2 linked regions of the Macaca fascicularis genome follow. The protein of the gene in region 2 binds, or shares a complex with, the protein of the main gene of each other region. Links are inferred from orthologs where the notes say so. Each region holds a gene or a part of one and is shown on either strand. Other genes may lie near its edges.

Region 1 (3,519 bases), on a different chromosome or scaffold from region 2:
CTTTTTTCATTAACAAAGATTGTCAATAACATTGGTTTATATGCAAATATGTGAATACAGAGTGAAAATCAGGCTAAAGGGATCCTTAATGTGCCTTGGGTGGGGACTGGGCTGACTTGTGGCTTTCCTGGATTCCATGTTGGGATGTGTGCGGCCACCCAAAGCTGAGTCCTTCTCCCTACCTTGTGACACTTTTCACAGTTCTGTTGAATCTGATACTCTTCCTGTTTCAGCATTTCTGTCATTTCCATTTCCTTGAGGCTACTGTCATATTCCTCCTGCAGCTGGATCTTCTCTTCCCTATTCTGGGGTGAGGTGACAGAGTCGAATCAGGTCAGCACCCAGGGAAGCCTTATAAATGGGGCCCCCTCACTGGAGACTGATCTGGGCTGTGGGCCTTTTGGGCCTGTTGAGTTTCCTCCTGTAACTAGCTTTAGCCTGCTAGTAGTTACAAACCCTTCAACTCCACAGCTCCTCTGAGTTGAAGCCCCACTCCTCTCAGCCCCCAGGATCCCCATGCTTCAGGGATATCTAGATCTAAGAGCAAGTCAAATTAACCAAGAAATTCCCCAGGCCAGCTCCAGAATCCTGCCTTGTGTCTTGGCTTTCAAATTACTCTAGGAAAGCTGGGCCCTCCCTAAGTCGCAGTGCCCATACACACCTTTTCTTTTGCTTTCGCTGTTTTCTCATAATGATAAAGCCAGTGAGCCAGGTATTCTATTGGGTCACTGGGCCGAACCTTCGCCACCTCTGCCAGTGCCTGGGCCAGGCAATTTCCAAAGCACCTCTTTAGGTAGTTAGTTTCCATCCTGGCAGCCTGGAAAACAAAGACGCGTTATTTTATTAACTTAGTCTGATATTAAAAATAGACACATTCTAACCAATTCAGATTTATTTCAGGATAAATATGAGATGTTTCTGGATCACACCCTTCCCAAAAGAACCAATGAACACTTACTTGCTCTTATATTCAAATGGACTTTTTCTAAAGTTCTCCAGCTGCACTAGGTCAGACAGTGTGGGTCCTAGGGTTTACCAGGTTTGCGAGGAGGTTGGTACTTTGGTGGTAAGGGTGGCTAAGGCCTCCCCTTACCCACACATTTTTGCTCTTGAGTAGAGAAAATTTAAAGGAGCAGGCAGGAGGTCCTGGGGAGGGGCTCTGAGCACCCAGCAGGCTGTGCTATTGTGAGGTAGGAGGCTACAGTCATCTATGACATAGATAAGATAGGCTCATTTATTTCACAAGGGACCACGGAAAGGCACTGGGGAGAAGAGAGAGGGAAAATGTTGGTGCTACAGCTACTGCTTGTCAGGAGCTCTGCCAGCACCTGATATAATGCTCCATTCTGTATTACTTAGGGATTTACTATTCATCATATTTCAAGAGCTGGAGGCAATGTAGCCCAAACTTAGGAGCAGCAGGGAATTGTGGCAGTAGGAATGCACATTCTGGAATAAGACAGACCAAGTTCCAGTCCTGATTCTGCCACTTATTAGCTGTGTGATCTTTAGCAAGTCACTCAGTCTCTCTCAGCCTCAGTTTTCTCATCTGTAAAATAAAAGTAACAAAAGTATGTAGCTCACAATAATTAGATTAGAGGTGATAATAAACACACACCAGGCACTTAGCCAGGCACAGAGTAACTGCTTATTACACTATTCAGTGGAGGATTGTGCCATGAAATGACCTAGGACCTGGCCTCCTCCTGACGGATTCCACATTCTTGAAGTTGACACATTTGAATTCCAAAAGAGTCCGGTGAATAATAAAAGCTTAGATCTAGCCTTAACATTTTCTGGAGGCATTTTTCAATTTTCCCCCCTACTCCCCATTTTCTAGCTTAAGGAAGGAAAAACAGATAGATATCCATATCTATCTTACGCATATCTATCTTATGGATAGAGAAAAAAATATTTCCTAGCTCTCTCCACTACAAGGGCCTTGAAACCAAAACACTTCAGTAGCAATGAGCACACTGAGCATATAAACCTTGCTTGTAAATAGCCTTCGTCACTTAAGAGGAATCAGGGTGGCCGGGCACGGTGGCTCAAGCCTGTAATCCCAGCACTTTGGGAGGCCGAGGCGGGTGGATCACGAGGTCAGGAGATCGAGACTATCCTGGCTAACATGGTGAAACCCCGTCTCTACTAAAAATAAAAAAAAAAAAAAACTAGCCGGGCGTGGTGGCGGGCGCCTGTAGTCTCAGCTACTTGGGAGGCTGAGGCGGGAGAATGGCGTGAACCCGGGAGGCGGAGCTTGCAGTGAGCCGAGATCACGCCACTGCACTCCAGCCTGGGAGACACAGCGAGACTCCGTCTCAAAAAAAAAAAAAAAAAAAAAAAAAAAAAAAGAGGAATCAGGGCTCCTTGGAGAAATGGCTGATTCCAAGGCTGGGGCAGGACAAGTCTAATGGGCCTGGAACATTTGGTTTTGCCAGAAAGTAAGAAAATTCTGAAAAATACAATGGGTGGGGACAGAGAAGCCAGCTTGAAGGGGCTCCTACTAGTCAAATCTGGGGCAGTTTAACCATTAAAATAAATAGTGACTGTAATGGATTATAAATTACAGAATAAAATAAGACTCCATGAGTCCATATGAGAATATATACATAGATTAAGAAGGGAGAAGGCAAAGTTCTTGTTAAAGTAGAATGCCAACTAATAAATGTGGGGAAAATAATGGAGTTTTAAAAAACTGCCATTTCCTCACCACCATAGTATAATTGAATCAAAGCAGAATCATCAATGAGTCAATGAGTGCTAAACCTGGGTGAACATTTGACAAGGAATAAGATATATGCATAGTCTCAAAGTTTCTTCTCACAAATTAAGTATTAATTCCAAAGGAAATACAGAAATTTTACAGTGGCAAAACCTGGCCAACAAAACCTTAACCAAGTAATCACAGTAAATATCACCAATAAAGGAACAAAGTGACATCAAGTGCCTCCTGATGGGATGTACTTCTTATGGTACATAAAACATTTCCATGGATTCCTGTCTAAAATGCAGTATTTGAATGTAATTGAAGAAACAGCAAATAAATCCAAAGCAACTACCCTGTACTCTTAAAAATGTTGAGGTTATGAAAAAAAAAAAGAGTAATTGTTATAGATCAAAGGAGACTGAACAGCTATAATAACTACATGTAACACATGATCCTAGATTGGGCCTGGGCAGGAAAAAATAATTCAGCTGGGCATGGTGGTGCATGCCTGTAAACCCAGCACTTTGGGAGGCTGAGGCAGGAGGATCACTTGAGCTCAGGGGTTTGAGACCAGCCTGGGCAACATGGCAAAACCATGTTGCCCATGCTTTTGTATTCCACAAAAAATACAAAAATTAGCCAGGTGGGATGGCACACACCTGTAGTCCCAGCTACTTGGCGGCAGGGGGTGGGGAGGTGCACGGGGTCTTACGGTGGGAGGATCACTTGAGCCCAGGAGGTTGTGGCTGCAATGAGTTGAGATCTCACCACTGCACTCCAACCTGGGTGACAGAGTGAGACCCTGTCTAAAC
Region 2 (3,519 bases):
GAAAAATTGGGATGGTATGTTAAAATAATAATGGTAATACAGGAACAGAAATTCAAATTTTCAGCATTATTGCTAATGTATGGAAATAAGATATTGAGTTCTTGCACTTTTGAATGTGCATTGCTTTTTTACTTCTTACAAAACAACACCACGTTTTTATCCAGAGAACTCCTGTTTTCCCAGTGTATTCCTCCTGCAGACGTGAATATATTTGATCCTTATCTAGATAGATAAGCTTAAATTTAAGCTTAAATTTGACATAAATTGTGAAGCTTTCATATGTAAGAAGTGGCAATGCTTTTGTAAAATTCTTAAGTGGAATGCATGCATATAAAGTAAGGAATAGATGTCAGACTGGATGAACATCATCTCTAACTTGTTTTTAGTCTAAGGGCAATTTATGGCACAGATGACCTAAGGAATGCACTTCATGGGAGTAATGACTTTGCTGCTGCGGAAAGAGAAATACATTTTATGTTTCCTGAAGGTGAGTTACAGATGACTAACTTGTCAACTGCATCTCCTTATTGTTTGCTTTTTCTTTTATTTTGCGGATATAGCTGGGAAGGAAGATAAAATAACTTTTTTCCAGTATATTTTGTTAGGTTTTCAAGTTGTTGTTACTTAAAAACTTGAAGCCACAATGGAAAACTTGACATTTCCTTAACAACTAAATTGTGCCCTCTAGCGACTTTTGAGAAGTGTTTAATTTTTTTTATTTATCTATTTTTAACATTAAAAAAAATTTAAGACAGTGTCTCACTGTCACCCAGGCTGAAGTGCAGTGGCACAGTCTTGGCTCACTGCAGCCTCAAACTCCAGGGCTCCGGTGATCCTCCCACTGTAGCCTCCCAGGTAGCTGAGACTATAGGTGTATGCCACCATGCCCAACTAATTTTCTTTTATCTTTTGGAGAGATGGGGTCTCACCGTGTTGCCCAGGATACTCTCAAATGCCTGTGCTCAAGTAATCTGCCTGCCTTGGCCTCTCGAAGTGCTGGGATTGCAGGTGTAAGCCACCACACCCAGCTTAATTTCTTTTTTCTATCTTTTCTCTTGCATTAGACATATTCTTCTGTGTTACAGTTCTTTCTAGTTATCCTGAAAGGTTCAGTAGAGTTTGTGACACATGAGAAAAATAATCTCTCTTGGAAACTACATTTGATTTACCATCTTCTCTAACAATTTACTGTTTGCCTAACAAAGTCTCCTGCAATTGAGAAATTAATAATTAGTCCCTTTTTTTGTTTCCTTACTGTTAGAGAAGTTGTAAGCCTTTGAGAAGTGGACATATGAGGAAGAACACTGAGGTTTTTGGTTTGTTTTTAATATTTTTAGAGCAGAAATAAAATTTGGTGATATTTGTTATAAGGAAAAAATGCAAAGCATTGAGCAAAATTTTGAATTTGTTTTAGTATGTTATTTTTCCTGTTATGACTTATTTTTCCCTAAGTCATTTAGATCTGTTCCTCAGTATTTTCCACTGGAGATTAATTCAAATAAAACTGAAAACTGTCTTGGAGATTTAAAAGTTCTTTATTTATTTATTTATTTTTTGGGAGATTTCACATTTTTTTGAATAACTGATGTGATACAATAGTATCACTGTTGTTTGAATTTCTAAATTCAAAATAAATATATTTCACATTTTGAGTACTTGATCTGTTACTTTTTAGTGCCAACAGGCTTGGTAAAGGCCTGATGCTGACCTGACAATGGGCTGACAACTTTCCTCCACTGGCCTTTTAGTCATCCTCCCAAGGGAAGACCTGCTTCCCTCCTTTCTGTACAGTCTGAAAAGTCCCTGATTCTTAAACAAGGAAACAAAAACTAGTTTTAAAATTGTATATTTTTTCTCAAAGCAGTCCTCCTGCCTCAGCCTCCCAAAACACTGGGATTACAGGAGTGAGCTACCGTGCCCAGCGAGAGGTCTTTTTAATGTGGTAGCACTTTATATTAGTCTTACAAGTGAATTAGACTTTTGCTTGTTAGCTTCTGTTATTTATTTATCTATTTGAGATGGAGTCTCACTCTGTCACCCAGGCTGGAGTGCAGTAGCATGGTCACAACTCATGGCAGCCTCAACCTCCTGGGCTCAAGTATCCTCCTACTTCAGCCTTTGAGTAGCTGGAACCACAGGTGCATATCACCAGCCCCAGCTAATTTTTGTATTTTCTATAGACATGAAATCTCACTATGTTGCCCAGGCTGGTCTTGAACTCCTGGGCTCAAGCAATACTGCTGCCTCTACCTCCCAAAATGTTGGGATTATAGACATGAGCCATCACGCCTGACTTCTCTCTAGCTTTTAAATAAAACAGGATAAAAATTCATTTTATCTTAAATAGAAGGTATATTTGAAAGCTCTTCTTACTCATTGGATTATATTCCTAAACTGTAATTTTCTTTCTTTTCGCTTTTTTTTTTTTGGAGATAGAATCTCACTCTGTTGCCCAGACCAGAGTGCAGTGGCACAATCACAGCTCACCGCAGCCTTGGCCTTGCAGACTCAAGTAATATTCCCACCTCAGCCTTTGGAGTAGCTGGAACCACAGGCATGCACCACCACACCCGGCTAGTTTTTCAAGTTTTTTGTAGAAACAGAGTTTTGCCATGTTGCCCAGGCCAGTCTGGAACTGTTGGGCTCAAGCGATACTCCCTCCTGCCTTCCAAACTGTTGGGATTACAGGGGTGAGCCACTGTGCCCAGCCAACTGTTATTTTCAGTTGCCTTTGATTTTACTCATTAAATTAATCCTCTAGGCATGAGTTTAGAGATCTAGTTAGACATTTGAGAAGCAGCAAGTTGTAGGATAAATATAAAATCATTAATTACTTAGCACATTGCAGATCTTTTGCTGTGAAGTTCTTTGGAGCAAGTACTGAGAGTTTGCGGTATGAGCGTCCTCTTACTTAGCAGTCGATCAACAACTATGTGCAAAACTTTATACGACAATTCATTCAAGCAAGTTATCAAGATATTCAAAGACATGTTCTTTTTTTTTTTTTTTTTTTTTTTTGAGACAGAGTCTCGCTCTGCCGCCCAGGCTGGAGTGCAGTGGCACGATCTCGGCTCACTGCAAGCTCCGCCTCCCGGGTTCACGCCATTCTCCTGCCTCAGCCTCCCGAGTAGCTGGGACTACAGGCGCCCGCCGCCTCGCCCGGCTAATTTTTTGCATTTTTAGTAGAGACGGGGTTTCACAGTGTTAGCCAGGATGGTCTCGATCTCCTGACCTTGTGATCCGCCCGCCTCGGCCTCCCAAAGTGCTGGGATTACAGGCGTGAGCCACCACGCCCGGCCCAAAGACATGTTCTTAACCCTTGAAAAAAGTAATGCTGGCTGGACGCAGTGGCTCACACCTGTAATCACAGCATTTTGGGAGGCTAAGGCAGATGGATCACTTGAAGTTAGGGGTTCGAGACCAGCCTGGCCAGTGTGGTAAAACCCTGTCTCTACTAAAAATACAAAATTAGCCAGGCATAGTGGTGGATGCTTGTAATCCCAGCTACTCAGAAGGTTG

What was found. The genes of interacting proteins can lie anywhere in the genome.
Region 1: the proteins of NME5 (region 2) and DYDC2 are in contact, whole or in part, in a cryo-EM structure (PDB 8X2U), measured with the Mus musculus proteins. The link is inferred for Macaca fascicularis from reciprocal best matches to the Homo sapiens genes NME5 and DYDC2. Residues at the interface, in NP_542368.2 of Mus musculus: Arg140, Ala145, Val146, Ile147, Ile151, Pro152, Ala156, Ala157, Tyr160, Ile161, Tyr164, Val165, Thr168, Leu169, Leu173, Leu176, Cys177, Lys180, Pro181, Asp183, Pro184, Tyr185, Leu186, Leu188, Ala189, Asp190, Leu192, Met193, Asn196, Pro197; in NP_001347537.1 of Mus musculus: Asp2, Tyr5, Leu6, Cys9, Phe10, Gly13, Leu14, Leu18, Val21, Ala22, Arg23, Val24, Arg25, Pro26, Asp28, Pro29, Ile30, Glu31, Leu33, Ala34, His35, Leu37, Tyr38, Tyr40, Arg41.

Annotation. Positions count from the first base shown.
Region 1 is NC_088383.1:66,445,454-66,448,972, forward strand, and holds part of DYDC2 (DPY30 domain-containing protein 2), read right to left. Parts: intron 1,550-3,519; exon of another isoform or gene 1,466-1,549; intron 818-1,465; 5' UTR 809-817; coding exon 662-808; intron 306-661; coding exon 183-305; intron 1-182.
Region 2 is NC_088380.1:144,614,490-144,618,008, reverse strand, and holds part of NME5 (nucleoside diphosphate kinase homolog 5), read left to right. Parts: intron 1-386; coding exon 387-487; intron 488-3,519. UniProt on the Homo sapiens protein: Functions as part of axonemal radial spoke complexes that play an important part in the motility of sperm and cilia. Does not seem to have nucleoside diphosphate kinase (NDPK) activity.